2 linked regions of the Macaca mulatta genome follow. The main gene of each other region encodes a partner of the protein of the gene in region 2 in a complex. Links are inferred from orthologs where the notes say so. Each region holds a gene or a part of one and is shown on either strand. Other genes may lie near its edges.

Region 1 (3,753 bases), on a different chromosome or scaffold from region 2:
CCTGTAAATCTCTATTTATTCTTTGCCTTACTTTTTGAAGTTAGTCTGTGTGCTGGGCTTAGTGCTTAGCCAGACTCAAGTGAATCCTTATGCCGATTTCTGGAATTTTATATGCTTAGCTTCCACTTCTCTGGCACACTTCTAAGCTCTGCTTGAGTTCTTTCTCCCTTCACCATAGTCTGAAAAGTGCCTCTAGGCAGAAAGCCAGGGCAGGTTAGGTCTCACTTCATTTCTTTTGCATCTCAGAAATCACAGTCCTACACTGCTTGTTATCCAATATCTAAAAAGAGTTTTATATTTTTTTGTTCACTGTTCTGGCTGTTATTGTGAGTTGAAAAGTCTGTTTCTAGTTATTCCACCATGGCCATTGAAAATTATTTCCTGTCTTTATACCTTTTAAGATAACCATGGAGATAAAAAATAAAGTTTATGTTCCTTTTATTTTCTCTGGCCATTTGGGCCTTATGTCGTGTATTGCTAATAACTGCCTATAGTGTTTAGCAATTTCATCTGATCTCTTGTTCACATCTTTAATTATTTTCAAGATGACACTTTAAATGGTTCAGCTATAATACAATAATGAACAAAATAGTGTAGAATTACTGTAGAATATTTTAAGCAAGTAAAATAGCCTGTACATTATATTAAAGCTCATGAGTGAATATTTTTTAAAAGTACATAAGTTGTTTAAATGATAGCTTTGCAAAGAATTAGGTTTATCATTGTAGTCATAAGATTATCAACTGTTGGATTTAATCATCTTGTTTTTAATCAAAGATTCTTAGAAGTAATATGAACATAATTGATGCCTAGTCAAAGATGATCTTCAGTGAATTAAAATGTCTGAAAGTAATCCTATAAACTTATGTTAAAATCTGTATGGATTTTTGCCATGTAGCTTCTGTTGTCCATTTGATAGTCTTACAAGGAAAAAACAAAACAAACTCCTATATTTGATGTAGCAGTTGTACGTTATTAGGCTGTTAGTATGTTTCTTAATCTTTGATTTTTTTGTTTGTTTGTTTTTCAGATCGTCAGTATTTAAACAGATCACATCATGCGTGAGTACAAGCTAGTGGTCCTTGGTTCAGGAGGCGTTGGGAAGTCTGCTCTGGTAAGTTAGCCACCTAACTGTAACTGATTAGTATAATACAAGAAGAATTTTGATATTTCCTTGCTTTCAGACTTCTAGACACCAAAGAGAAAAAGTGGCATTATTATATATCTGGTATCTGCCCCACAAAGGACGGGAAATCATTTAATAACCACAGATATACACTTTTATAATGTTGGCTCATTTATTCTTACATTTATCAATTATTTATTGACTGTCTTACATGGCAAGCACCAGTGTTTATGATTCAGAGAGGAGTAAGATTGTTCTCATTTTTAAGGAATTTACATTGTAGTGGGGGAAACTGATTATTACAGATTCTATTGGGATAATTCCTCACCTGCTTCCACTCTAGACTTACATGGAATGAAGGTCATTTTTTGTGTTCATGCTGTTTTTATTTAGTAAATAGTTACTGAGCTTCTACAATGTCAGATTCTAGGGTCACAGGAGTGAACAAAAACAGTCATAGTTTCTCATGGAGCTTGCATTGTAGTGGAGGAGATGTGATAAATACACAATTAAACAAAGAACTCCTTGGTTATACTTGTGAGAGAGATACTCTGAAAAAAAAATACGGATTAATTTAGAAGAAAGGCAGAGTGGATGTGGGAGACAAATTGGGAGTTAATACAGTATACCAGATCATTGTTTATGGAACCTTGGATTAAAACCATGGCAGTGAAGAAGAGAGAAGAGAAGTAGATGTTTGAGGATTGAGTAAGTGGTAGAACTGACGTAAGTTGGTGCTAGATTGATACGGGGACTAGGAGAGAAGGAGCTGTCAAGGATGGCTCCCAGGTTTCTAGTTTGAGCTACTATTATGGATGGATTAAAAAAAGAAGGGAAACAGTGGAGAATGAGCAGTGAGAGTCCAAATCAAAGAGTCAAGCCAGATTTTATGTTTGTGACATGTTGAAGTAATAAAAGAGAGAGACCGGTGATATGACTTTGGGTGCCATCAATATGGTGATGATATTTAATTTCATGAGAGTTACATTACTGTTAGGTGTGTAAATTAGTGCCTTTGTCGAGAATGTTTGAGAATATCTGTCATTTTTAATGGCATATAACTTTCAATTCAAAGATTCCTTTTCTAAAAATGTAGCCCACATATAAGTTCACATGTGCAAAATGGCGTGGTCAGGGAACATTGCAACATTCTTTACAGTGACCAAGTGACCAGAGTCTGGAAACAACCTAAATGTGTTCCATTAAGGGGCTAGTTAAGTAAATTTTAATACATTTTCAGAGTAGAATACAGCCATTAGAAAGAATGCAATAGCTCTATATATACCAATATGTAATGATATCCAAGATGTATTACAGAGAAAAAAGGTACTAAACAGTGTAGACTATAATTTGTGTTTTATATTAAAAAAAGTGTAGGCTGAGGGCAGATAGCTGTAAAATCATAGAGTATCTCTGCAAGGTTAAATAAGCTATGGGTAATATCAGTTACTTTCTTGGGAGTGGGACTGGATAGCTGGGAACAAGGGTGGTAGATAAGCTTAGTTCACTGCATAGCCTTTTATGCCTTTTGAATTTAGTGCTATGTCCATGAATCACCTTTTCAGAAATAATTTTGGAAAAAAATCCACAGGAGTGAAAGAGGTCTAGGGAGATACTAGAGAGAGAAGAGCAGAGCCCAGTACTGAGCTCTGAGTACCTCTCAACCTTTAGGAAGTGGGTAGGATTGGAGGATCTAGCATAGAAGGTGTCTTTACTTGATTGCTCAAAAGTCAAGTAAAAAAGAGGAAAGAGATGATCAGAGAGCATAGAGGTAGTGGGACATGGTAAAGAAAGCAGCTTTAGTCAGGTCATGTTGCCATAAGCATAGTGGGGTGGGTTGAAGAGCAAATGAGAGCTGAGGAAATGGAATATAGACATTTGAAGAAGCTTGATTATAAGAGGAGACAGAGAATGGGGGCAGAAGCTGGAGAGATATTGGGGTTAAGGGAGGTTTTTGTTTTTGTTTTAGAATTGGAGATAGTAAAGCATATTTGTATGCTGGGGCAATTCCTCTCCACTGGAGAGGAAAATGAGGATACAAGAGAGGAAAAGAGATGATCCAGTACAAAAACCTGAGGAATAAAATTATAATCTATGTGAATCAATGAATGAGATGTCCCTGAAAATTAAGACAGAGGATAAGTTTCAGAGGAGTAGTAAAACATTACTTTTAGTAAGAAAGAAATGAGAAGTGTTGGATTGTTTTGCATTTGTGCAAGTCTTATTAATGTCTGGTTTATAGAAGGCACATGGGCTCTTATGCCTGCTTCTGTATCCAGTCTCTTGGAATAGCAAATGTTCTACTTTGGAAGATTCCACTGTAAACTTATGAGAGAAGAAGAAGAGTACATCTTAGTATTGTTAGGAAGATAGTTTGGCCTTGGGGAGCCTCTGTCTTGGACCGTATTTTGAGAACCTCTGTTCTAGCCTAAAGCATATTAGGAAGCCATATTAGACTGCCTTTTTTTCTTTTTTCCGCCCAGGCGGGAGTGCAGTGGCGAGATCGCGGCTCACTGCAGGCTCCGCCTCCCGGGTTGACGCCATTCTCCTGCCTCAGCCTCCCGAGTAGCTGGGACTACAGGCTCTCACCACTGCGCCCAGCTAATTTTTTTTTTTTTTTTTTTTTT
Region 2 (3,653 bases):
TAAATTTAACTTTGCAACTATTTCATTTTTGGTAGTCTACTGTCTGACAGTTTCAGCAATCCTGTTAATTACAAGAAAGCAAAAGCATGAAGAAAAATACCTACTCTTCCCCTCAAACAAAATCGTCTGGACCACGCCCTGGGAGAAGCATTCAGGCTGTTATTCTAGTCCAAAGCAATGAGAAATAAAGAAGAATAAAGAACAAAGGAAGTATTTAAGTGTATTCAGTTGTTATTAAAGATGAAGCAGAAAGCAAATTAAACCAATAGGACATAACCAAAAAGCCAAGAAAAGAAAAAGCAGTTCAAAAACACTAGCTTTGGGCACTTGGACATCTCCCTAAATACCTGCTTATTAAATCCTAGGACTCCACCCTTTTATTTCTAAATAAAATCACAAAAGTCTTCCAGAGAATCTGTAGTTCTCCATCACTGTTATTTTCTGTCCCACACCAAAATTAAACTCCTCTTTAAATATCTTAGGCACTCGTTCATTAAAAGCCTATTCAAATCTGATAATGGGAAGAGTTCAAATGTTAACATATTTTTCAGGAAATTTTAGTTCTCCACTTGAATGATATACCAACCAGACTATTCAGCCAGTCTAAAGATATTATGGATATAAAATAAACTGTAAAAGTCCAGAGACCTGAGAAAGTGTTGCAACATTCTTTGATCAGATTTGAAACCCAAAACTCTCTGAAATAAATATCACCCTCACCCCATTAATTGACTGACATTACCACCCCCAAGGGGCCCTATTACCTCAATCATCCTGCTGTCCACAGGCAGGGTGGTGCTGACCATGTGGACATTAGGTGTGGACGTCGACCTCTGCCTCTGGGAAAGGGAACCTTCAGATGAGGGACTGGAGGTGTTAAAGGTGAAGGCGTGAGGTGTAGAATACCTGTGCTGAGAACTAGGCAAGGAGGAGAAAGAAAATTCCATGATTGGCATTTAGGCTTTCATACTGGTGAAGTCTTTCAACTACCTACTTGATTAAGATGCTTAAGGGCAAACTCTACCTGTACAACCTTTGACACAATGTTTGATTCTTTCAAATATGTGACATCTAAAAATTATCTTAAGTCTGGGTGCTTTTGCATACAAAATTTGGAACAGGAAATAATATATGTATTGGGAATTCAATGAAAAAGAGAATGTATTGTAAGTTTTCTTTTTTTTAATAAAGCGCCACCCGAATACTCCAAATTTTCACATCTTCTCCGGGAAAGAATAGATTAACATTTGACAACCACACTACCACTTATTAAGCTAGTTGAAACGTGCCCAGTTTAATTTAGAGACTAAATTTGAGAACTTTAAGATTTTAAACAGATAAGTAGACGTGCTGAGCATGTCTGCAAAAAGGCCAGACGTTTTCATTATTTGTTCTAAAGATTAGTTTGAGGTTTGTTCAGATTCAGTTAACATCCATGTATGAATTAAAGGGATAAAAGGCCAGCTTTTCTAAGGGAAATTGTTCTATTGTCTTGAAAAAATGCCTTCCCACATAATTCTGTTTATGGCTTCAGAGGCCTGGTTTCTTCTAATCTTCAGAGGTAACTACAAACTCTTGGTCAGATCTGCTTTTCAAATTATCAAGAAAAATAAAAGTCATACACAAATATATATCCAGACATATGCAAATTCCTTATTCTGACATATGCTGCCTTTAATAATTTCCATAGTAGTTTCACATTAAACATTATCTGATTACACATTATGTGTGTGTGTGTGTGTGTGTGTGTGTGTGTGTATTTTTTGGAGACAGAGTCTTGCTCTGTCACCCAGGCTGGAGTGCAGTAGTGCCATCTCAGCTCACTGCCTACCAGGTTCAAGATTCTCCTGCTTCAGCCTCCCAAGTAGCTGGACCAAGAGGCGCATATCACCACATCCAGCCAGTTTTTTGTTATTTTTAGTAGAGATGGAGTTTCACCATGTTGGTTGGCCAGGCTAGTCTGGAACTCCTGACCTCAAGTGGTCCGCCCACCTCGGTCTCCCAAAGTGCTGGGATTACAGGCGTGAGCTACCATGCCTGGCCTAAAGTAAGATATTTTGGATGTAGATTTTACTTTAGGTTTCAAATTCATGTGTGTAACACTGAGCAATATGTGAACTGAACAAAACTGATTGTAAAGCTGGAAAACAGAGTAAAGACAAGTTATATGCAAACTCAGAGACACATTAGAAACAATATTTATGCTGAAAATATAACTAAATGTTTTTTAAAGACACTAGTCTATTTAAATACATGGTTTTAGCAAATGCAAGGCCATAACATGCATTTCAAAGTTAAGGGTTTTATTTTTATTGAATCACTGTATCAAGTTTTGGGACCCTTTCCATTGAGGTTGAACTCAGTACATACTGAGGAAAGTAGAATCTCAAGCTCTTTAAAATGTAATGACATATTAAGGAATATGCTACGATAACAGAAGAAACTATAGTCAAAGTCACTTTCCAGAATATAAGATCTACAGATCCATAAAGAGAAATTTCTACATTTTGCTGTACCACCAGTATCACATTCCACAGAAGCAGCAAGGGATTTCCACATAGAGAGGAGGGAATGTGAAGAAACTCTTATTTTTTGTCTTTGAGCTTCCAACCCCACCTCCCCCCCCCAATAACTTTCTAAAAGAAAAGCTATAGGTAAAAAAATTACCTAACAGGCATCCTGGAAACAGACTCTCGCATACGACGCATAGTCAAAGAAGGTAGTGCTGGGACTCCACTATCACCAATAGTGGAATTTGGAAACAATCTAAACAAAAGCAGGGAAAGACTGGTTTTTAGGCTTACAGTAATCTTACAGAGACAATCAGCGTGCCTTGCTTTTGCAAACTCAGAGCTACTAAAACTGAACTTTTCCCAGTCACATTTTCCTCAACTGTTTTACATTACCTAGAATAAAGGGAACAATTTCCAAATAACTGGGTTTGAATGATTATTGAATGTGAATAATACTGACCTGCCAATAAACATACGGGCTCCAGTGTGCTTTTTCTTTTTTATTTTCTTTTTTTTTGTTGAGATGGAGTCTCGCTCTGTTGCCCAGGTTGGAGTGCAGAGGAGCAATCTTGGCTTACTGCAGCCTCCGCCTCCTGGGTTCTCCTGCCTCAGCCTTCCAAGTAGCTGGGATTACAGGCACACACCACCACGCCCAGCTAATTTTTGTACTTTTAGTGGAGACAGGGTTTCACCATGTTGGCCAGTCTGGTCTCGAACTCCTGACCTCAGGTGATTCACCCGCCTCAGCCTCCCAAAGTGCTGGGATTACAGGCGTGAGCCACCACGCCCGGCCCAGTGTGCATTTCTAGGAAATACTGGTCCTATGTCTAGCTATATCAAAATAATGTTTTTCAAACTACAGTAGAACATTTTACAAACTATGTCACACAGAGCTTTTCTGGAAACATTCCATCTTGAAAATAGATAAAAAGACTAAAATAGGAGGAATAAATCACAGAAAAGTGAGTAATTAGGCACCTTCTTTCCATGAGCTGGGCACTTGTCAGCAAGCCTCATAAGAACAATGCAAGGAAGGTAATATCCCCTTTATTCAGACGCATGAACGAAAACTCAGTTGTGGTTATGGTTAATGACAATAGTGAGATTCTGACATACGTCTGTTAGACTCAGAAGCTTGTG

Evidence for each region. The genes of interacting proteins can lie anywhere in the genome.
Region 1: the proteins of RAF1 (region 2) and RAP1A are in contact, whole or in part, in a crystal structure (PDB 3KUC), measured with the Homo sapiens proteins. The link is inferred for Macaca mulatta from reciprocal best matches to the Homo sapiens genes RAF1 and RAP1A. Residues at the interface, in NP_001341619.1 of Homo sapiens: Thr57, Arg59, Asn64, Lys65, Gln66, Arg67, Thr68, Val69, Val70, Lys84, Lys87, Val88, Arg89, Gly90; in NP_001010935.1 of Homo sapiens: Val21, Gln25, Ile27, Val29, Asp33, Pro34, Ile36, Glu37, Asp38, Ser39, Tyr40, Arg41.

What each region holds. Positions count from the first base shown.
Region 1 is NC_133406.1:128,545,950-128,549,702, reverse strand, and holds the start of RAP1A (ras-related protein Rap-1A), read left to right. Parts: upstream 1-1,030; 5' UTR 1,031-1,057; coding exon 1,058-1,114; intron 1,115-3,753. UniProt on the Homo sapiens protein: Counteracts the mitogenic function of Ras, at least partly because it can interact with Ras GAPs and RAF in a competitive manner. Together with ITGB1BP1, regulates KRIT1 localization to microtubules and membranes.
Region 2 is NC_133407.1:151,425,394-151,429,046, forward strand, and holds part of RAF1 (RAF proto-oncogene serine/threonine-protein kinase), read right to left. Parts: intron 2,767-3,653; coding exon 2,668-2,766; intron 919-2,667; coding exon 765-918; coding exon of another isoform or gene 746-764; intron 165-745; coding exon of another isoform or gene 105-164; intron 1-104. UniProt on the Homo sapiens protein: Serine/threonine-protein kinase that acts as a regulatory link between the membrane-associated Ras GTPases and the MAPK/ERK cascade, and this critical regulatory link functions as a switch determining cell fate decisions including proliferation, differentiation, apoptosis, survival and oncogenic transformation.